Canis lupus familiaris: one gene and its partners. The protein of the gene in region 3 interacts with the protein of the main gene of each other region in a pairwise test. Links are inferred from orthologs where the notes say so. Each region holds a gene or a part of one and is shown on either strand. Other genes may lie near its edges.

What was found.
Region 1: the proteins of TAX1BP1 (region 3) and TNFAIP3 interact in binary tests that used the Homo sapiens proteins (3 or more experiments, as listed by UniProt). The link is inferred for Canis lupus familiaris from reciprocal best matches to the Homo sapiens genes TAX1BP1 and TNFAIP3.
Region 2: the proteins of TAX1BP1 (region 3) and CXXC1 interact in binary tests that used the Homo sapiens proteins (3 or more experiments, as listed by UniProt). The two-hybrid records come from large-scale screens. The link is inferred for Canis lupus familiaris from reciprocal best matches to the Homo sapiens genes TAX1BP1 and CXXC1.
Region 4: the proteins of TAX1BP1 (region 3) and MAP1LC3C interact in binary tests that used the Homo sapiens proteins (3 or more experiments, as listed by UniProt). The link is inferred for Canis lupus familiaris from reciprocal best matches to the Homo sapiens genes TAX1BP1 and MAP1LC3C.
Region 5: the proteins of TAX1BP1 (region 3) and PLEKHN1 interact in binary tests that used the Homo sapiens proteins (3 or more experiments, as listed by UniProt). The two-hybrid records come from large-scale screens. The link is inferred for Canis lupus familiaris from reciprocal best matches to the Homo sapiens genes TAX1BP1 and PLEKHN1.

The regions. Positions count from the first base shown.
Region 1 is NC_049222.1:30,483,171-30,487,382, reverse strand, and holds the start of TNFAIP3 (tumor necrosis factor alpha-induced protein 3), read right to left. Parts: upstream 2,811-4,212; 5' UTR 2,675-2,810; intron 1,714-2,674; exon of another isoform or gene 1-1,713. UniProt on the Homo sapiens protein: Ubiquitin-editing enzyme that contains both ubiquitin ligase and deubiquitinase activities.
Region 2 is NC_049228.1:78,682,948-78,687,089, forward strand, and holds the start of CXXC1 (CXXC-type zinc finger protein 1), read left to right. Parts: upstream 1-1,330; 5' UTR 1,331-2,142; coding exon 2,143-2,145; intron 2,146-2,719; coding exon 2,720-2,838; intron 2,839-2,937; coding exon 2,938-3,038; intron 3,039-3,298; coding exon 3,299-3,534; intron 3,535-3,625; coding exon 3,626-3,820; intron 3,821-4,142. UniProt on the Homo sapiens protein: Transcriptional activator that exhibits a unique DNA binding specificity for CpG unmethylated motifs with a preference for CpGG.
Region 3 is NC_049235.1:40,948,755-40,952,267, reverse strand, and holds part of TAX1BP1 (tax1-binding protein 1), read right to left. Parts: intron 2,516-3,513; 5' UTR 2,509-2,515; coding exon 2,347-2,508; intron 1-2,346.
Region 4 is NC_049228.1:33,301,745-33,305,856, forward strand, and holds the start of MAP1LC3C (microtubule-associated proteins 1A/1B light chain 3C), read right to left. Parts: upstream 2,814-4,112; 5' UTR 2,688-2,813; coding exon 2,630-2,687; intron 2,529-2,629; coding exon 2,473-2,528; intron 2,295-2,472; coding exon 2,188-2,294; intron 214-2,187; coding exon 1-213.
Region 5 is NC_049226.1:56,673,356-56,676,381, forward strand, and holds part of PLEKHN1 (pleckstrin homology domain-containing family N member 1), read left to right. Parts: intron 1-802; coding exon 803-949; intron 950-1,049; coding exon 1,050-1,130; intron 1,131-1,254; coding exon 1,255-1,327; intron 1,328-1,614; coding exon 1,615-1,742; intron 1,743-1,824; coding exon 1,825-1,956; intron 1,957-2,137; coding exon 2,138-2,218; intron 2,219-2,899; coding exon 2,900-2,975; intron 2,976-3,026. UniProt on the Homo sapiens protein: Controls the stability of the leptin mRNA harboring an AU-rich element (ARE) in its 3' UTR, in cooperation with the RNA stabilizer ELAVL1.

The DNA of each region.
Region 1 (4,212 bases), on a different chromosome or scaffold from region 3:
CAATGAAAAAGCCTATTTCCAGTAAGAAGCTTTGCAATTTTAACGGTCAATGATAAAGTCTTTCAGAACCTCTCCACTGAACTTCACAACATCAGAATAGGACATAGAATTATAATAATAATAATAATAATAATACAAGAATAAATTTTACACTTCCGAGAGCAGGCATTAGATTTCAATTATTTCAACTTAACTACATTTATTATCATTGTCCAGGTACCAACACTCAAATGCATTTCCCACCCTGTCTTCACCCTGGAATCCTGAAACATAATCTGCTGGTAGAAGGAAATAAAAGTCTGGAAATGGGCAAGGAAAGATGTTTCAGCCAGGGGGATGCTCATGATAAATGAAGGAAGCGGGGGGAGGGGGGTGGTGCAAAACCCAGCATCTACAACCCATGCCAATAGCGTAGGATGTTGTGAATTGATGCAACGTGGGATCTCTGCAGTGTGGAGCTGTGTGGAAAGCCACAAGCCTTAGCAGGGTGCCCCAACATACATCTTGGTTTCCAAGATGAAGGCAAAGATGGTTTTGGAGCATGAAGACATTCCCTAGGAAGTTTCATGGAGATTGCTAATCTCACTCCTGCACCATACTATTTGCCAGGGCAAGCTTCTAGTTGAGGAAGACTTGAAACCTGTGTAAGAGTGAGAAGAAACCTAGATTTTAGGGAAGCCATTCCTAGGTGGGTCTAGGCTCTCTTAAAGCCATTGATGAAGTGATTTAAAACTTGTGGTCCAAAATAGAGAGGTTAAAGTAGATGACCCAAGGTTGCTTCTGAGGAGTTTTCTGGTGATAGTTTTGGACCAGGATTCCAAATCTGATTGTCAATGAGGCCTGGGAGAAGTTATTCTCTGGGCCAGTTGGTAATCTTTCCTTCAGTTCCCTGAAGGTGGAACTGGGCAAAATTATTGCAGGGCACAAGCATAATGAAGCAATAAAAACATTACACCCATTTCCACTTTGTGGCATGGCCAGTCTCACAATCACTCATTCATCTGTCCATTGCTTAAAAAGCACTGCCTGCTCACCTGCTGAGAGCCATGCTGGATGCTGGGACTAAAAATCACAGGTGCCCTTATTCCCTGTCCACAGCCATGGCAACACAAGCACGGGTCCTGCTCAGGTTCCACACCACCCAAGGCAGACAGCTTTGCCTGGAAGCCAGATCTTCCAACACCTGCCCCTTGCAGTTCCCACAACACCATCCCTGTGCCTGCTGCTGCCAGACGGGAAGAGGCCGGAAGCAAAAAGATTTGAAACAAGCTAGGTGTTGCCTTTTGAGTTTTCCGAATCTTCTCTTAATCTCTTCTAATTTAAAGATCTTTCAGCAAAGACCTCAAATAGCACAAGCGCTCTTTGCCATATGTAAGACATGCAAATGTCAGTACTGTATAGCCCTGGGTCATCTCATTCATAGTTTTAGCCTTGCACACACTGTGGAATCGATCGCCTCCTGAAAAGAATTAGAACCCACCAGCCAAGTTCCCAGTTCTCGGACTTCTCCACGTTTAAGATGAAAGAATAAATTTTCCTGACCTATAACTGTAACGTCCTTACAGGTAAAGACATATGCTATCACCCTTACCATTTCTTTTACATTTGTCACCTCACTGACTTTTTTTTTTTTTTTTTAAATCAATAAATGCCTCATCGAATTTTTGGTAACTCTCACTCCTAAACTCCAAAACTTGTACACAGAATTGTTAAAAAGAGAAAAAAAAAAAACAAAAAACAAAGAAGCACCTTAGACGATGGGAATGGAGCTATAACCGGCTGCGTAACAACTGCAGACACTAGTGCTAAGGTCCAGGGGACTGATGAACCACGGTCCTCCCCAAAGGCTGCCCTGAGACACTTGACCAGACCAGCTTTCCAAGGAAAGAAGATCAGAGGCGGGGAGAACTGAAAACAAAGCGGTCTCAAAAGCGCTGAGCTCCTTCCTTACTTAATACCACTGCTTTCCTGAGAGGCCAGGTGGCAGGATGTGGGACGACCCGGGCTGACAACGACCGTCTGACTGTGGGGTAGGGGCTGGGGCAGGGGCCTCCAGGTCGCCGTCCACTGGAGCACCCGAAAAGCCGGCCAACGTCCCGCTTGAGCATGCACACTCCTCGCGCACTGCGGCGCCTGCAGCAGCTCAGCACCGGCCCTCCGCCCACCCGCCTCCCTGCACTGGGCTGCGGGGTCTGCAAGCCGACCCAGGGCAGGCTGGCTGGCCCGGGCCCCCACGCCCCCCCCGCCCGGCGGGTGGCCTGGCTCTGCACCCGCCGGGAAGAAGCCACGGCGGGTCGGCTCTGCAAGGTCTCCGTGTCCGCGAGCATCCAGAGCTTGATCGAAAAATAAAAAAGGCACGCAAAGGGGCAAAGCACCGAGGACCACGCGACCTGGCCGTCCGGGGGCTCCTCTCCAGCCGCCTGCTGCAGCTTACGTTCCTGGCAGCATCTACAAGGAACAGCTGGCCGGAGGGCTCCCGAGCTGTCACCCCAGCGTCGTGCGCGGCCGCCTCGACTCCCAGCACTTCACATCCCGCAGTGAGCGCCGACGGCCGACGAGCTCCGGGCCGGGCCCGGGCCGACAAGCTCCCGCCCGCGAGGAGCTGCCGGTGACGCACCCGCGCAGCCCGGGCCCCGCGACGCCGCTGGCAGAGGCACGGGCACGCGGCGGTTACCTGTCCGGCCGCGCGATCCTCTTCCAGAGTCCCAAGTCCGGGTCAGGTCCGGGCCGCGCGGAGGAGGCGCCCCATGGACGCCGGGGCTCGGCGCTCGCTCGCCGCGGGGCTGTGTGGCTCGCGCCCGCCGCCGCCGCCGCCGCCGCCGCCGCCGCACTTGTCCCGGCGGCTGCTGTCACCGCTCCGCCCCCGCGGGCTCCGAGCGCGCTGCACCGGCCCGCTGCGAGGACTGCAGACTGCCAGTTCTCTTTTTCCCTTTCTGTTTTACCGCCGGCGGAGAACGGGGATTTCCACCCGGGGACTTTCCAGTCACGTGACGCCCGGGCCGGCGCCGAGCCCCGCGGTCGCCGGCCGCCAGGGGGCGCAGGGGGCGCAGGGGGCGCGGGCGGCGCAGGAGGCCGGCGGCGCCCCGCCCCGCCCCGCCCCGCCCCGCCCCCCCGCGCGAGAAACTCCTGAGCCCCGCCCCCGGGTGTCCCCGCGTGAGTCACCTGGGCATTTCGGAAGCTGGCCCAACGTCACATCCATGTGGAAATCGCGGTGATGGGAACTGGAAATGAAATAGGTTCTTTTTTCTCAGCCGTTTTTCTGCAGAAAATCACCAACCGTGGAGAACAATAAGGGAAATAATAAAGAAAGAAAACCCTAAAAACCACCCGGGCGTCCGGGACCGCAGCCTTCGGGGCTGGGTTGGAAAAGCTAGGGCTGTGCACGTGATGAGCTCGTCGGGGAGCGCCCTACTCTGGGCCCCGGTGGGGATTTCACAACCCTCCGTGCGTCCCCATCCCAGCGTTCTGCCGCCCAGACGGCGGCCTGTTGGGGGTGACCTCCTGAGGCCCCACAGCCTTGAAATTTGCAGGAGCAAAACCTATCTTAGGTGAAGTTGGGAATCAGAGCAACTATCAGCCCTGTTCTGCACTTTACTGATTTCCCTTTCTCCCTTCCTGCACACCAGGTGCCCAGGGGGCTCGGCACGCAGGAACATTTCGGTTTAGAAATCATTTCTAGTCCATTATTACTGTCCTTGCGTGGCCCCCCTAAGGCCCTATTAGGAGCTCTTTTTCATGACCTGACAATTAGTTCAGGCCAAGGTGTCAAGGGCTGATAATACATTTTACCCACCCACGACCCCCACCCCTTATTAAATAGTGTGGTAACCCGCAGTCTTTACCCAAAGGACGTCCTGTGGAAATAGGTGTCAGCCACTTGGACAGTGGAGGTGCCTGAATTGCAGAGGGAGAGGCAGGCACTTTGACTGGCTAAGAGTCCCCCTTGGCGCATTTCTTAGAATAGCTAAACTAGAACCAGATTGAAATATTCTGTGCATTGTCCCCTTCTAGACTTACTTATACTAGTTGGGCCTCGTATCCCAGTTTTGGAATTAGAAAAATATGCTTTCCTCTCCAGTAAGGACCTGCAGAGACTGGATGGAGGACTGGATGAGGACCAGGTGGCACATTTTTGGCAAAGAGACACTCAGAGCGGAGAGTCAGAAGTGGCCAAGCTTCCAAGGCTGGTGCTGGCCATTTGAAACCAATGGC
Region 2 (4,142 bases), on a different chromosome or scaffold from region 3:
CAGGCTCCACGCTGGGAACCCGATGTGGGACTCGATCCTGGGACTCCAGGATCGTGCCCTGGGCCAAAGGCAGGCGCTAAACTTCTGAGCCACCCAGGGATTCCCCTGAACTAATATTTTAAATAAAATTAAATTTAGTAAGTCAAGTCAGTGATGTTAAATTAAATGAGTAATTAATTTAAGTTAAACTTGAACTATATTCCCTTAAATTTACTTTCATACATCAAATTGTAATTAAGTTAAAATTGAATTATTTGAAATTTATTGGTTAAATTTATCTGAGTATCTTACCAACACATGCATATTCATTTATACTAACTAAAGTTAATTTAATACATTAAATGAACTAAATTCGAAGAATTATGTTAATTAAAATAAGTTACAATCAAATTAAGATTAATTCAGTATTAACTAGAAAAAGGAGGCAAGTCTGGATCTGAAGGTCCACTTTGTGGATTAAAGACGGGCTTTAGGGGATCCCTGGGTGGCGCAGCGGTTTGGCGCCTGCCTTTGGCCCAGGGCGCGATCCTGGAGACCCGGGATCGAATCCCACGTCGGGCTCCCGGTGCATGGAGCCTGCTTCTCCCTCTGCCTGTGTCTCTGCCTCTCTCTCTCTCTCTGTGACTATCATAAATAAATAAATAATTCTAAAAAAAAAAAAGAAGAAGAAGAAGACGCGTTTTAAGGAGAGAGGGTCACACAGTCCATGATGCAGCTCCTGTGACTTCGGTTGTCTGTGACGGTGTGGAGGGGCCACGAGTAAAAATGTCTAGGAAAGGTGAAAACAAAAACAAAAATCAGACCCGACACCGCCCTCAGGAGAATCATCAGGAGCAAGTACGTTACTATGATGTCCAGAGCCAAGAAATCCAGAACGACTGTCAGCACCCGGTGACAAGTTTCATTTTCCCCAGGCCCCCCGCCCCCCCAACCTGAATAGAGTCGTGACCCTGAACGCGGACATTCCCTGTGACCCGGGCTCGCGCATCTGCTGGGGGTTGGGGCGGGGGCGCTGACCCGTTAAAACCCGCCCGACCGCTCAGGTTGCCTGAGTTACAGCCTGGCCTTAAGGACGTGTCCAGAGCTCCGACCTGTCCGGTTTTTTTTTTTTTTTTAAATGTACGGAGTCTAATTAAAAAATTGTAAGAACTAACTTCATAGGAGAGAATTGAGTATGTCTGATGGAAGAGAGCCAGAGTGGACGTCACGGGGATCCCGGCGAATCCACATCCCGGCGGTGGCGGGGTCAGGGGAAGACGCGGTGTAGCCGGTGTCTCGGGTTCCGGGGTCTGCTGTGGCTCGGCCCCTTGTCACCAGGGTCGGGCCCTTCACCTGCATCCTTCCGTTCGGAGGGTGACCGCGCTCCCGCAAGGGCCGAGGCTGCAGGGCGCCGGGCTGGGCTGAGGACCTTCGAGGAGGACCCGGGGCGCGAAAGGGTGGTGAGGATGACGTCAGACACAGAACGGGGGAACATGGGCACAGTCCGCTGGCGCCCCATTAACACACGTGGGAGGGAAACGTGAGTGAATGGAAGACGGAGTGTAACTCGAGGCACGTGGTGTTTCGGGAGCAGCCGCTTTTCCTTTGAACTTCTCTGCAGGGCAAGCCGCCATCGTACGGAGTCGATGCCAAAATGGCGGCGCCCTCCTGGAGACCGCGGGTAGGACGCTGCCATGCATTGCCCGTGAACGTACGGACTCGGCCATCTTACGGAATCAGTTTCCAAGATGACGGCATCTGCGTGGAAGCCGCGCACAGGCGCCGCCATATTTCCTGTAACGTTGAGTCCGTACGAGCGGCCACCGTACGGAGTCGGCCGACAAGGTGGCGGTGCCCTCGCGAAAGCGGCCACATAGGTGCGGCCATGTTTCCTACTAGTTTACGGCCCTGACCGCCGTACGGTCTTGGTCGTCAAGATGGTGGCGCCTGAGAGACCGTGGCGGCTCTAGGCGGCGGATCGACTTGTTTGGTGCGGAGCCGACGCATTAGTCCTGCGCAATAAGAGTACGGTGCCCGGGAGGCGCGACCAAAGCGGAAGTAGTTGTGGGCGCCTTTACAACGGCCGCGGACGCCGCCGAGAGGTCTGTGCGGGTTCGCGGGTCGCTGGCGGGGGTCGCAGAGGGGTGCGCCGAGAGCGGAGAGATGGTAAGTACGGGGCCGGGGAGGGTCGGCGGTAGGGGTCGGCGGGTCGGCGGCGGGGGGTCCGTGGGCAGACTCGGGGGGTCTGTGGTGAACCGTCAGGGGCGTCCGCGGGCGCTCGGGCGGGGGCCTGTGGGGAGCCTCAGAGGGGGCTGCGGGTGGAATGTCGGGGTCCGGGGTTCCGAGCTTGTTCCGACGTGTGAGCCACCTGGGAGTTTTGTGACGGGCCCCTGCGCGGCTCCGTGATGGAAGTTAGTGGGGACGCCTTTCGGCAGCTCGTCGGGGGCCCGCTCGGGGACTGCGGGGCGGCGGGACCCGGCGTCTGGGCTGAGCCTGCCCGGCGGCCCGTAGCGAGCGGGGCAGTCGGCGTCGGGCCGGCGGGGAGGCGCGAGGGGGCGGGGCTGCCCGGGCGCTAGTGACCGTGACCGCGACCGTGACCGTGAGCGGGGCGGGGCGGGAGGTCGGGGTGCCGGCGTGGGCCGGGCCGGGAGGGTCGCGAGGAGCCGCGGTGGGAAGCGTGGGCAGACGGTCGCGGTCTGTGGAGGCCGTGGTGGGGCTGCTCTAAGGCACCGTCCCGCAGGAGGGGGACGGCTCCGACCCAGAGCCTCCAGACGCTGGGGAGGACAGCAAGTCGGAGAACGGCGAGAACGCGCCCATCTACTGCATCTGCCGCAAACCAGACATCAACTGCTTCATGATGTGAGCCGGGGAGAGGCGGGCGGGCTGACGCCGGCGAGGTTGGGTGAGGCTGATGGGTGCGGCCCCTCACATCTGCACCACTCACCCCATCCTCTGCAGCGGGTGTGACAACTGCAATGAGTGGTTCCATGGGGACTGCATCCGGATCACTGAGAAGATGGCCAAGGCCATCCGGGAGTGGTACTGTCGGGAGTGCCGAGGTGAGGGGGCGGCCTGGACGGGGGGCACACCCACCTGCCTCCAGGGAGAAGCCTTCAAGGAGGGTGGGTCCCGGGCCGAGGGACTCGGTTTGTGGTGAGCTGCAGCGGAGACTCCAACGGGCGCTTGGCTAGAGCGTCCCCCAGCGGGGTAGCCCTGCCCCGGAGGAGTGACGGGGAGAAGGTGGGGGGGACCAAGATGAAGAGGAACCCTCCGAATCCCTCAGGGTCCACCCACCCTGGCCCCACTGTCTTCCCCACAGAGAAAGACCCCAAGCTGGAAATCCGTTATCGGCACAAGAAGTCACGGGAGCGGGACAGCAATGAGCGAGACGGCAGTGAGCCCCGGGATGAGGGTGGAGGGCGCAAGAGGCCTGCCCCGGATCCAGACCTGCAGCGTCGGGCGGGGTCAGGGACAGGGGTTGGGGCGATGCTTGCTCGGGGCTCTGCTTCGCCCCACAAATCCTCTCCACAGCCCTTGGTGGCCACACCCAGCCAGGTGAGTGGCTGCTGGGGCTGGGATAGGTAAGCTGAGCCTCCCGCAGGCCCCGTACACGTTCCTGATTTTTGTACTGGGCCTCTCCCCTCAGCATCACCAGCAGCAGCAGCAGCAGCAGCAGCAGCAGCAGATCAAACGGTCAGCCCGCATGTGTGGCGAGTGTGAGGCCTGCCGGCGCACCGAAGACTGTGGCCACTGTGACTTTTGTCGGGACATGAAGAAGTTTGGGGGCCCCAACAAGATCCGGCAGAAGTGCCGGCTGCGTCAGTGCCAGCTGCGGGCCCGGGTGAGCATGGGTAGAGCTGGGCAGGGCTGGGGGTGTCAGTGTGTCCAGGAAAGGCTCGTGGAGGCCAGGAGGGGGCAGGCTGGGCGGGTGAGCTGGGGCCTTGCTACACACAGACAGGTGGGAAGGAGCCTGGCCTGTGTAGGTGAACAGGGCGTGACCAGGTGTGTGGGGCTAGCAGGGGCATCCCCGACCCCAGGTGGGCAGGGCAGACCCCCCCCCCCCCCCCCCGGCCATTTTCAGCGGTCAGGCACGTCAGGGCAGGTGGAGCAGGGTTGAGCATGTCCTGGTGATGTGAAGCGGGGGTACTAGGTGTGTCTGGGAG
Region 3 (3,513 bases):
TCTCTCATGAATAAATAAAATCTTTGAAAAAATAATAATAAGCAGGCTATGACCAAAAAAAATGAAGTTACATATACAGAAGCTTTATATGGGGAACCTGGGTAGCTCAGTTAAGCGTCTGTCTGCAGCTCAGATCATAATCCCAGGATCCTGTGATCAAGCCCCACTTTAGGCTCCCTACTCAGCATGGGGAGTCCGTTTTTGTTTCTCCCTCTGCCTCTCCCCCAGCTCATGCTCACAAGCTCCCAAATAAATAAAATCTTAAAAAAAAAAAAAAGGAAGCCTTATATGGCACACTGGTAAAGTTATTTGGTCTTGGCGTTATTCTACAGATAATGAAAAACTAAGAGTTTGAAACAAAAAGAAGATATGTTCAGATTTTCATTTTATAATATAGTTTATATACAGTACTTTGAAGAACAGATAAGGTAGGGGGACAAGAATGAAAACAGGGAAAACAAGTGCAATAATTTTGGAAAGGGCATAAAACTAGAGCACTGATATCACAGATACAAAAATACATATGCAATAAAATGTAAAGAAATGGTGTTTGAATAGATTTGAAAGGAAAGTAATTAGCTTTTGGCTTAGGCAATAGGCCATTAACTAAAAATTGAGGGGAAAAAAAAACTTCAAAGGAAAAAGGTAAAGATTCATCTTGAAATGCAATTTATCATACATCAGCCTACATACCTACATATGCAAAGACATCCCATTGCCCAAAATAGAAACCTACATTTTAATTTTAGCCTATAACTAAAGGTCTCCATAGATAGTCTGAAGCTTAATTCCAACATTACCTCCCTCTACTTTCCTAAATGAAGGTCATTTTCTAGTCAAACTAACTTGTCTCAATAACATTCTCAACTCTGTGGCTCTGCTTATACCATTTTCCTGCCAGAAATGCCCCTCCTTTCCCTCAATCTTATTTCCTTGCTCTACTTTTGTCTGACCAATTCCTATACAAAACACCAATTTTCACTCAGCTTCTTTAACTTGATAACCCATACTTCACATAAAATCAAACCAGTACTAACTTCATAAAAATGCTTACAATGAATGTATCCCCATTTTGGAATTTGACTCAAACAATAAATAGATTAAAAAATAGTAAATGATTCCTCTATCATCAAAATCAAGGAAGGGATTCAAAAAAGAAATGAAACGTCATTAGATGCCAAAACTTTCTTTGTCCAATAGTTTTTCGGCCCTCCTCACTCTAAAAGGCTGACTTTCACTTCTAGATACCTGTGTTTCATTCTGGCAGCTGTTCTTTCTTTCTACTTTGTTGTAACTTATACACACCATGCAATCAAAATTTCAAGACCCTTAAAATCATATCTAAAACTCATTCTGAGGGAGAATCTAGAGGAACTGAGGAGAAAAGTTTTATTATTTGGACATTTACGACATTTTGATTGTTGAAAGGACACTTTTTAATTTTATTTAAGTAATCTCTACACCCAATGTGGGGCTCAAACTCACAAACCCAAGATCGAGAGTCACATGTTCTTCCAACTGAGCCAGCCAGGCACCCTAAGGACTCACCTCACGTTTTAGTTATCCACTACATTCTTAAGAGTTGAAATTGCCAGTAAATTTCTAGCACAGAGAAGCACCACCATAAAGATCACCTCAAAGTAATTCTCAAGCAACTACTATACAAAATGACTAGCAAAAGGTAAGAACTGGGATTCCTGTCATCAGAGAGTTTACTATTTAGTCATGTAAAAACAGAATACTCTTAATAAAATGGGGCAGCCCGGGTGGCTCAGCAGTTTAGCACTGTCGTCAGCCCTGGGCCTGATCCTGGAGACCCAGGATCAAGTCCCATGTCGGGCTCCCTGCATGAAGCCTGCTTCTTCCTCTGCCTGTGTTTCTGCCTCATGAATAAATAAAATTTAGAAAAAAAAAAAAAAAAAAGCATAAAATGACATGAGCAATAATTAATCAACGTAGAATAGAAAAATAACACGGCTGTAGAGTTGTATAAAATTAATTATAAATGACTGAAGAGATAGTAAATGATAAAGCAACTCAAAGGAAAAGACCTTTTTTCAAATAAGGAATGGAAAAAATGGAAGGGAAAGAAAGGTTCCAAAAAGTGTTTCACAGACCTTTTGATCAGAGAGACGGGCAAAACTGGTGAACTTTAGTTCCCAGTATCGTATACCACCCTGCACTATTAGGTGTTTCATGTTTATAAAGCATTTAAGTTTACAAATGTAAAAAGACCCTTATCGCAGAGTGAAGACAAGGCTAATACAAGCTACTTATCAACCTGCTTAAAAAGAAAATAGAGTACCTATACCTACATGGAAGAAACATGCAACAAACTGTTCTTACCTTGAATATACCAACCCAATCTTTTGGATGTGGATGGATATATGGAGTTAAGGTGTAATGACATTCCAGGTGTGCATTAGGAAGATAACTCTTGGCCACATTTTGAAAGATGACATGGGCAAAGTTGGAAGTCTGCAAGGGGACTTCTTGAAAGGATGTCATTGTGAATCTGAAACAAGCAAATCATACAAGTTGAATGATACCAACTAACACAAAGTTTATACCTTCAGAAAATACACAAAACTAAATGCAAATTACAAGAGCATCTGCATGCCATAATTATTGAGAAGACACACACTTGGAATTCCTCCTTAAAAACATGATTGAGGGCAGACCCGGTAGCTTAGCGGTTTTGCACCGCCTTCCGCCCAGGGCGCGATCCTGGAGATCTGGGATTAAGACCAACGCCAGGCTCCCTGCATGGAGCCTGCTTCTCCCTCTGCCTGTTTGTGTGTGTCTCTCTATCTCTAATAAATAAATAATTAAAAAAAACATGATTGAATATATAAAAATACAAACTGATGGAATGCCTGGGTGGCTAAGTGGTTGGATGCATCTGCCTTTGGCTCAGGGTGTAATCCCAGAGTACCTGAGTCAAGTCCCACATCAGGCTCCCTGCATGGAGCCTGCTTCTCCCTCTGCCTATGTCCCTGCCTGTGTCCCTCATGAATAAACAAAATCTTTTTAAGAAATAAAACTACAGGGGATCCCTGGGTGGCGCAGCGGTTTGGCGCCTGCCTTTGGCCCAGGGCGCGATCCTGGAGACCCGGGATCGAGTCCCACGTCGGGCTCTCGGTGCATGGAGCCTGCTTCTCCCTCTGCCTGTGTCTCTGCCTCTCTCTCTCTCTCTCTCTCTCTGTGACTATCATAAATAAATAAAAATTAAAAAAAAATTTAAAAAAAAAAAAAAGAAATAAAACTACATCTGCAAGACATAAATGTTTCCCATATTTTGTGCTCTACTTTTGAGAAAAAGGATACAACTGAGGATTTACTCAAAAAATCTATACAGTATCACAGACTCAGTACAATTATTGATTGTATACTACATATAAGAAACTATGACAATGTCCCTATAGTACTTGCTCCTGTATCATCATAAAAATCCCCATAATGTGACAGGAAAACCTGGGCAAGCTTTTTGCTAACCAAATGAATCTAATTTAC
Region 4 (4,112 bases), on a different chromosome or scaffold from region 3:
CACTGGTTCTTGACATGCACTGGAGAGGACGGCAGGATTTGCTCCGACCCTAAGCAGCCAAACATCTCCTGGGAGGCGTAGGTCATGTACACAAAGCCGTCCTCATCTTTGTAGTCCCTGTAGACTTCTGCCATGGTCATACTCATGCTGACCAGGCTCCGATTGTTCACCAGCAAATAAAAGGCTTCAGTGGCCCCAAGGACCAGGCGGCTCCTGGGTGGGGAGGAGTGGGGGGCAGGAAGGGAAAACTTTAACTGGGCATGGAATGGGCCCCTGACCCAAGCCCTGGCTTACCTCTGTCTGTCCACGGCAAACATGTCTACCCAAGGAGCCCACCTCTCCACTCTAGTGCATTGTCTTCAAACTTGACAATTACCCGGGAGGGCTTGTTGAAAGCAGACACCTGCACTCCACACCAAGAGTAAGGCCATCCTATCATTAACTAGGAGACATACCAACACAAAAATGCTAAGCCCTCTTTGCTCTCAAACTCAAGGTATGTACAGCCCCAGACATACAAAAGTGATTACAGTATCTCCCAGCATCTCATTGTTAAATAGCTTTGGAATGAAATGTTGAAAGGTTACTACCCTTTCCTCCCTCTGCCATCTCTCCCCCCACCTCAAGGAGATAGAGAAGCAGCTTAGTTCATTTGGACAGGCTATAATGTCAAGGTCAATCTGAGGCCTGGTTCATCCTGGAGTGGAGGACAACATGACAGCGTAGACACTCAGGTAAGGGATCTGTCTCCCCTGCAGCACACCTCCATTTGCTCTACTTGGAGAGGTAGGCATAGCTTGCCCACTCTGGTCTCAGAGATTTGAACTTTCAGGTGAGCTAGGTCCATGTGGTTTTGGGACACAGGTGGCTAGAAATTGATTAATTTTATAACCAGATAACCTCTCCCAAAATAACCCTGAAGATTTCAGCTTTGATAATTGCATGGTTGTCTGGGTAAAAGAAGTGTTCTACAACGGGAATGGATGGAGCTGGGGACCAGTGCATTGCCTTCAGCTCTGCAGGAAACACTCCACACAGTCCACACACCCACCTCCTGTCCTTTGCTATACTATCTTTCAACGAGGGTTGTGGCATCCTCTGGAGGAAGAGGTTCTGGGGAGAGATTTTTTTTTTTTTTTGTCTATTCTGTTCACTGCTTTAAAGACAGCCTAGAAAGAATCCAGAACATCACTGATGCTCAATAAACATTCTGGAGCATTAAATGTTGGCATAGAGAGGGGATTAGGGCTGGTAGAAAACAAAGGATGACCTCTGTCTGGGAAGGAGAAAAAGAATGGCTCTCAGAACTCAGAGAGTTGTTTCTAAGGGAGGTGGGTGAGGGGTGGTCACTCTTTGTTACATCAACATGTTGGGATATAATCCTAACACTGGTCATCCCTTAGGCACTTCCATTCACACGGGGCCAACATAAGCTCCCCAAGGAGAGGATATCAAGATCCTCTTAAATAACTCATCAAGACAAACAAGACAGAGACAAACACACACTCATAATGAATTCTTAAAGAAAAAGCAGCTATGCAGCTTGCAAGGGCTGGCCTTTCTGGACTTTTCAACCCCATGAAGAATTACCCTCTGGTAATTACTCTCAGATCATTTTTGTTGAATCCATGTGTCAAGTGACAGTACTTACCCCTCTTAAGCTTTGAAAATAGCCCCATTTTCTTTGCTGTGCCTTAACCTAAAGGAGGAACATGTCTGGGGACACCTTTCCTGTCCTCCCTCCCAGTGAAGGGAGTGCCTGCCTTTGGAAGAGGTCCTCATTCCTCCAGGGCACAGACACTTTAAAGGTACCGTGTGTCTGCTGGGAAAATGAAGACTGAGTGTTTTTTTTTTTTTTTTTTTTTAAGACTGAGTTTTAAACAGCTTGTGGAAGAACAGATCTTTTGGACTAGTCTCAGAGCCAGGACTACTTCCAAAACTTCTTAGAAAAGTTGGCGGCTCTTACTCTCTTTAAACTTGCTATCTGTGGGATTTTCCTCGCCTGTTTAAGTCAAATTACTTCTCAGAGCATCTTTTCTGGGCCCTACAGAATCTAAGAGGTGAGTCGCAAAGGAAATCTTTTCCCTCTCTTACAGATTCTCCCCCTCCTCAAAACCAAACCAATTAACAAAGCAAACAGAAAAAGCCTCACCTAGCACACTCCCCAGCGTGCACATTGTCACCTACCGGATGATGCTGAGGAACTGGATCATGGTTAGCTCCTGTGGGACCAGGAACTTGGTCTTGTCCAGTAGGGGCAGGAACTTCTCCCTGGGGTAGCGCTCCACTATCACCTGTCGAGAGGGTCAACCCCCAAGAATGTAACTCAGAGGTCTCAGTATCTTAGAAAATTAGAACAGGGAGAGACAGTGGGGTTTTTTTGTTTTGTTTTGTTTTCTTCTTCTTATTTTTTCTTTTTTTCTCTCAAGGAACAGAGTATACTCCTTTTCAAAAAGCGTAATGCGGTCTTACCGGGATCTTGTTTGGGAACTTTGCTCGGATTCCGGCAACTTCCTCTTGTCTGGTTGCTGTGAATATTTCAAAGATAAAAGAATAAGTAAACAGCAGGAGAAGTCTGTATCCTCTTCCCTCTCCCTAGCAACCCAGACAGCTACCCTTAGAATTTTACCTAAACTCTTCCTCTGCTTGAAGGGTCTGAGGCTTTGGGTTTTCTGTGGTGTCTGCATTTTGCTCAACAGCTGTGTCTGTGTCTGACTTAAAAAAAAAAAAAATCCCACAACCAGGACCTAACTCATTCCTCAGCTGCTTCCAAACCGCCCCGCAGGAGCCTAAAGGAGGCCCTTATGTAGGGCTGTGTGACATCAGGCTTCCCCAACCCTCCTTCCCCTCCCCCTCCCTGGGTAGGAGGAGGTCAGCCCAGAGTAGGAGATGGAACAACAGCCACTTGCTTGCTTCTCAGACAAAGTCACTCTGCTCATGGCCAGTTCAAAATGTTTCTTTGCTGGAGAAATTAGGGTTCACAATAAAATCAGTGGCTGGGTCACCAAGCAGCCTATGTCTGGGATGAGGACCCTGGAGATACCAAATAGCCATTTGGTAGGGACAATCTTTTTATTTTTTATTTTTTTTATTTTTTTATTTTTCATGAGAAACATAGAGAGAGAGGCAGAGATATAGGCAGAGGGAGAAGCAGGATCCTAGTGGGGAGCCCGATGCTTGACTCGATCCCAGAACTCCAGGATCATGCGCTGAGCCGAAGGCAGATAGATGCTCAACTGTTGAGCCACCCACCTGTCCCTTCTAGGCACAATCTTGTGCTTTAGTAGGAGCCTATCTTGAAGGTGGGCCAGGATGGGGCTGCCCCGCGCTGAACTGGGCTGCCTTACTCCCGCAGCAGTCCTTCACAGCCAGTTTTCACAGAAAGAAACCTATGATCAGAAAGGTAAAGGCATTTCCCCAAAGTCATACAGCCAGTAAGAGAGGCAGTTGGGATTAAAACTCAGATTTGGTACAAAGTAGGGCACACTCCAGTATATGCTGCCATTTTATTTTCTCTGCCATAAAGGGGGGAAGGAAGCCCAGTGACCCCCAAAACCTCCCTTCAAGAGATAAGAAATAGAGGCCCATAGAGGTTAACTGGTTTGCCTGGGATCCAAGGGCTGATAAGAGGTAAGACACAGGTCTCCCAGGTCTCAGCCTCCAGGGTTTTGCTTCCAGAAATGTATGCACACCCAGGCAAACCTCTGCACTCCGAGTGAGCAGAGGGTTTACATTTCCCACACTGATTTCCCGGCAGAATCACTCAACAGTGAAGAGTCTTCAAATGAACAGTGTGACATAAAGGAAGGTGATTTTACATTCTCTATGTTTGCTTCATGAATCAGTGTGAATCTCAGGGCTTTGGCTAATCATCAGGAATGGACATCCAGTGATTAAATGATAGCATCACTGACAAGTGGCTTCATCCTCTGACTCTCCCTCTGATGCCCTTCAGAAAGGGCACACATGCTCATGGGGCTGCGATAATGGGGAGCAAGTGTGTACTTTGCATTTGTAGTCAAGCAGCTTTCAAATGCACAATCTCATTTAAACCTCCGTTGTCTTGTGGATGGGAAGGGCATGTAGGATGCATACTTTGCAGATGCACACCT
Region 5 (3,026 bases), on a different chromosome or scaffold from region 3:
AGGTATGCAGAGGGGTCAGGAAGGCTGGAATGTTAGGTTACTCAGACAGGTCCTCATGGAGAAGGTGGGTTGTGAGCAGTGTCCTGATGGGTGAGAAGAGAGTTAGGCTGAGTGGTCTGGTCAGAGGGAATAGCCAGTACAAAGGTCCCAAGGCACCTATGGCTGATATGAGAAAATGAGTAGGGAAGGGGCAGATCCGAGAGGACCCCTTGGGCCATTGCTGGGACTTTGGCCTTCTCCATGGGTAAGATGAGGGGCCTGCTGCCGTGTGCTAATGCAGTCAGCACGGGTGCTCGAGAGCTGATAGCTGGTCCTGGTAGCTTTAAATGGGTCCTGGTGGGAGTGTTTACATGGAAATTGCCCCCCACCCCCAGAGACCCAGGTGTTAAACACTTATAGCCAACCTGAGAGGCATGGGAGAGTTTGGAGCATTGTCTCCCTCAGACACCCCTCAGACACCCCTCAGACATCCTCTGACCCACAAGTCTTGGGAGGCTGAGTAATCAAAAAGAAGGTATTACAAGTTAGGAAATATCAAAAATAAGAGTTGAATGTCCGTTGAGTTCAGGCTTCACCATCTCTGCTCTAGACTGTGCAGTTTTATGACTAACAGACAGTGAGCTCACGCGTATAGGCTGCCACTATCTCCACATTAGAGGCTGGGAGCGTGTATGAGGCTGCCGTAGCTACGAATGATGCTGTGTGTATGTTCCTAACCTTTGGGTCATAGAACTGTGGCTATATGTATGGGTGGGCAGCCGGCCCAGCTCAGGCCCCCTCCCCTGAGCTCTGCTCCCCACAGGACATCCGGGGCCTGGAGAGCCCGCGAGAAAACCTGGAACAGCCATTCCTGAGTGTGTTCAAGAAGGGGCGGCGGAGGGTACCTGTGAGGAATCTGGGCAAGGTTATACACTACGCCAAGGTCCAGCTACGATTCCAACATAGCCAGGTGGGGCCAGGCTGGGCCAAGTGGGGGGTGCTCGGGTACCAGCCTGGGGCTTGCCCCCCGCCCCCCAGCCCCTCAGACCGGCAGCCCTACTCTCCCCCAGGACGTCAGCGACTGCTACCTGGAGTTGTTCCCCTCCTACCTCCACTTCCAGGCCCATGGTTCCAAAGGACTCACCTTCCAGGTGAGGGGAAATAGGCAAAAGGAGGAGGCTAGGGGTAGAGGGAGAGAGCAGCCTCCTGGGAGGTGGGTATCCAAGTCCCACTAGGGGTCCCCCAGCCCTCCCCTCCCCGCATGTGCTCTGGCAGGGGCTGTTACCACTGATGGAGCTGAGTGTCTGCCCGCTTGAGGGGTCCAGAGAGCATGCCTTCCAGATCACAGGTGTGTGGGGGGCGTGAGGGCTGCTCAGTGACTTTGGACTCTGGCTGGGCTTCAGAACACTGGAGGGACCCTGCATGCACTGAGGGATCCAGGCTTTTCCTCCAGTGGGTGCATGAGCATTTACCAAGCTGGGTGGGGTGCAGGGCAGCGGGCAGGAGACCTCCAGAGCTGTGAATGTGGCCCTGTTAGTGGCTGTTGGTCCTGGCCCCGGGGTGCGCACAGAGCCCTTGGGTGGGGCCTTTCCTGTGGGCTGCTGGCCCCAGCCCACTCCACCCCTCTACCCCCAGGCCCGCTGCCTGCTCCCCTTCATGTGCTCTGCCCCAGCCAGACTGAGCTAGGCCGCTGGCTGTTCCACCTGGAAAAGCAGATAGCCCTCGTGGGAGGGTTGCAGCGCTGCCACTTGGCACCCCCTCAGGTCAGTGCTGGGAACCCCCATGCCCTTTTCCTATCTCCCCTGTGCCAACACCCTCTGCCTGCCCCTGATCCCCCTTCTCCAGGGTGCCCCTGAGGATGAGCTGCCCTGGACTCTGCAGCACAGTCTGACCCAGCTACGGATGGAATCAGGGCATCAAATGGTGGGCAGTGCCATCTGTGCCTCGAGGGTCAAGCTGCAGCATCTGCCCTCACAGGTGCGTGGCCAGGTGGGAGTGGGGCAGTACCCAGGGGTGGGAGGAGATGGGGGCACAGGGTAGGTGGGAAGACATGGGGGAGGGCACAGAAAATGGGGAGGAGTTTAGGAGGCAAGTGGGGTCAGGCCCTCACACACACTGGTTGGTTGAGGCCCCATTCTGCCCTTTGACCCCTTCACAGGAGCAATGGGACCGGCTCCTGGTCCTGTACCCAACATCTCTGGCTATCTTTTCCGAAGAAGCAGATGGCCTTTGCTTTAAGGTGGGTCCCTCCCCACTGTGGACCCACCCCAGGGAGACGCCCTGTGTGTGGGGGTGGGAGAGGGCAGCGGCTTAGGAGGAACCTGTATTTCGGGGCCTGTTGGGACAGAGTTTGCTGGCCCCACCCCCACCCCCAGCCTGCTGTCCTGGTCAGTCTGGTCTCAGCTGTGATGTGGCCAAGGAAGGGTCTGTGCTTCAGCACCCATTATCATCCTAAAGGGTCCACCACCACCAGCAGGACTATCACGTGGGGAGGTGGCATGGGGGCAGAACCACTCCTGGGAGGTACTCTTGTGCTGGGCCCCAGTATCCCTGAGAGGGGCCTATACTTTTGAGTGGACATTTTCCTGGTGCCTGAGGGGTGTGTGCATGCACGGGCGTGTGTGTGTGTGTGTGTGTGTGTGTGTGTGTGTGTGTATGCATGTATGTTTATGAGAGTCCTTCTGGGGCTGGAGTGAAGCCTCCACTTGTGCCTGCCATTGGCTGATGAAGGCCCCACCCAGAGTCCAGGGGTAAAGGGATCCCTCAGGACAGACAGGGAGCCCTGGCCTCCCTCGGGGATGTCAGCCTTAGCCCTGCCTTGCCCTCTGCCTGCCATCTGAGGGCCCAGCCCAGCTCTGGAGGGTGAGACAGAAGTATGGGCCCAGGCTAAGGCTCCATCTTTCATCACTGCCTGGCACAGGCGGAACTCCCACTCAGCGCCATCCACATCAACCTGGAAGAGAAGGAGAAGCAGATCCGCTCTTTCCTGATTGAAGGTGGGCAGAGGCCCAGCCTGGGAGGGAGGGCATGAGCCAGCTCTTCAGTGA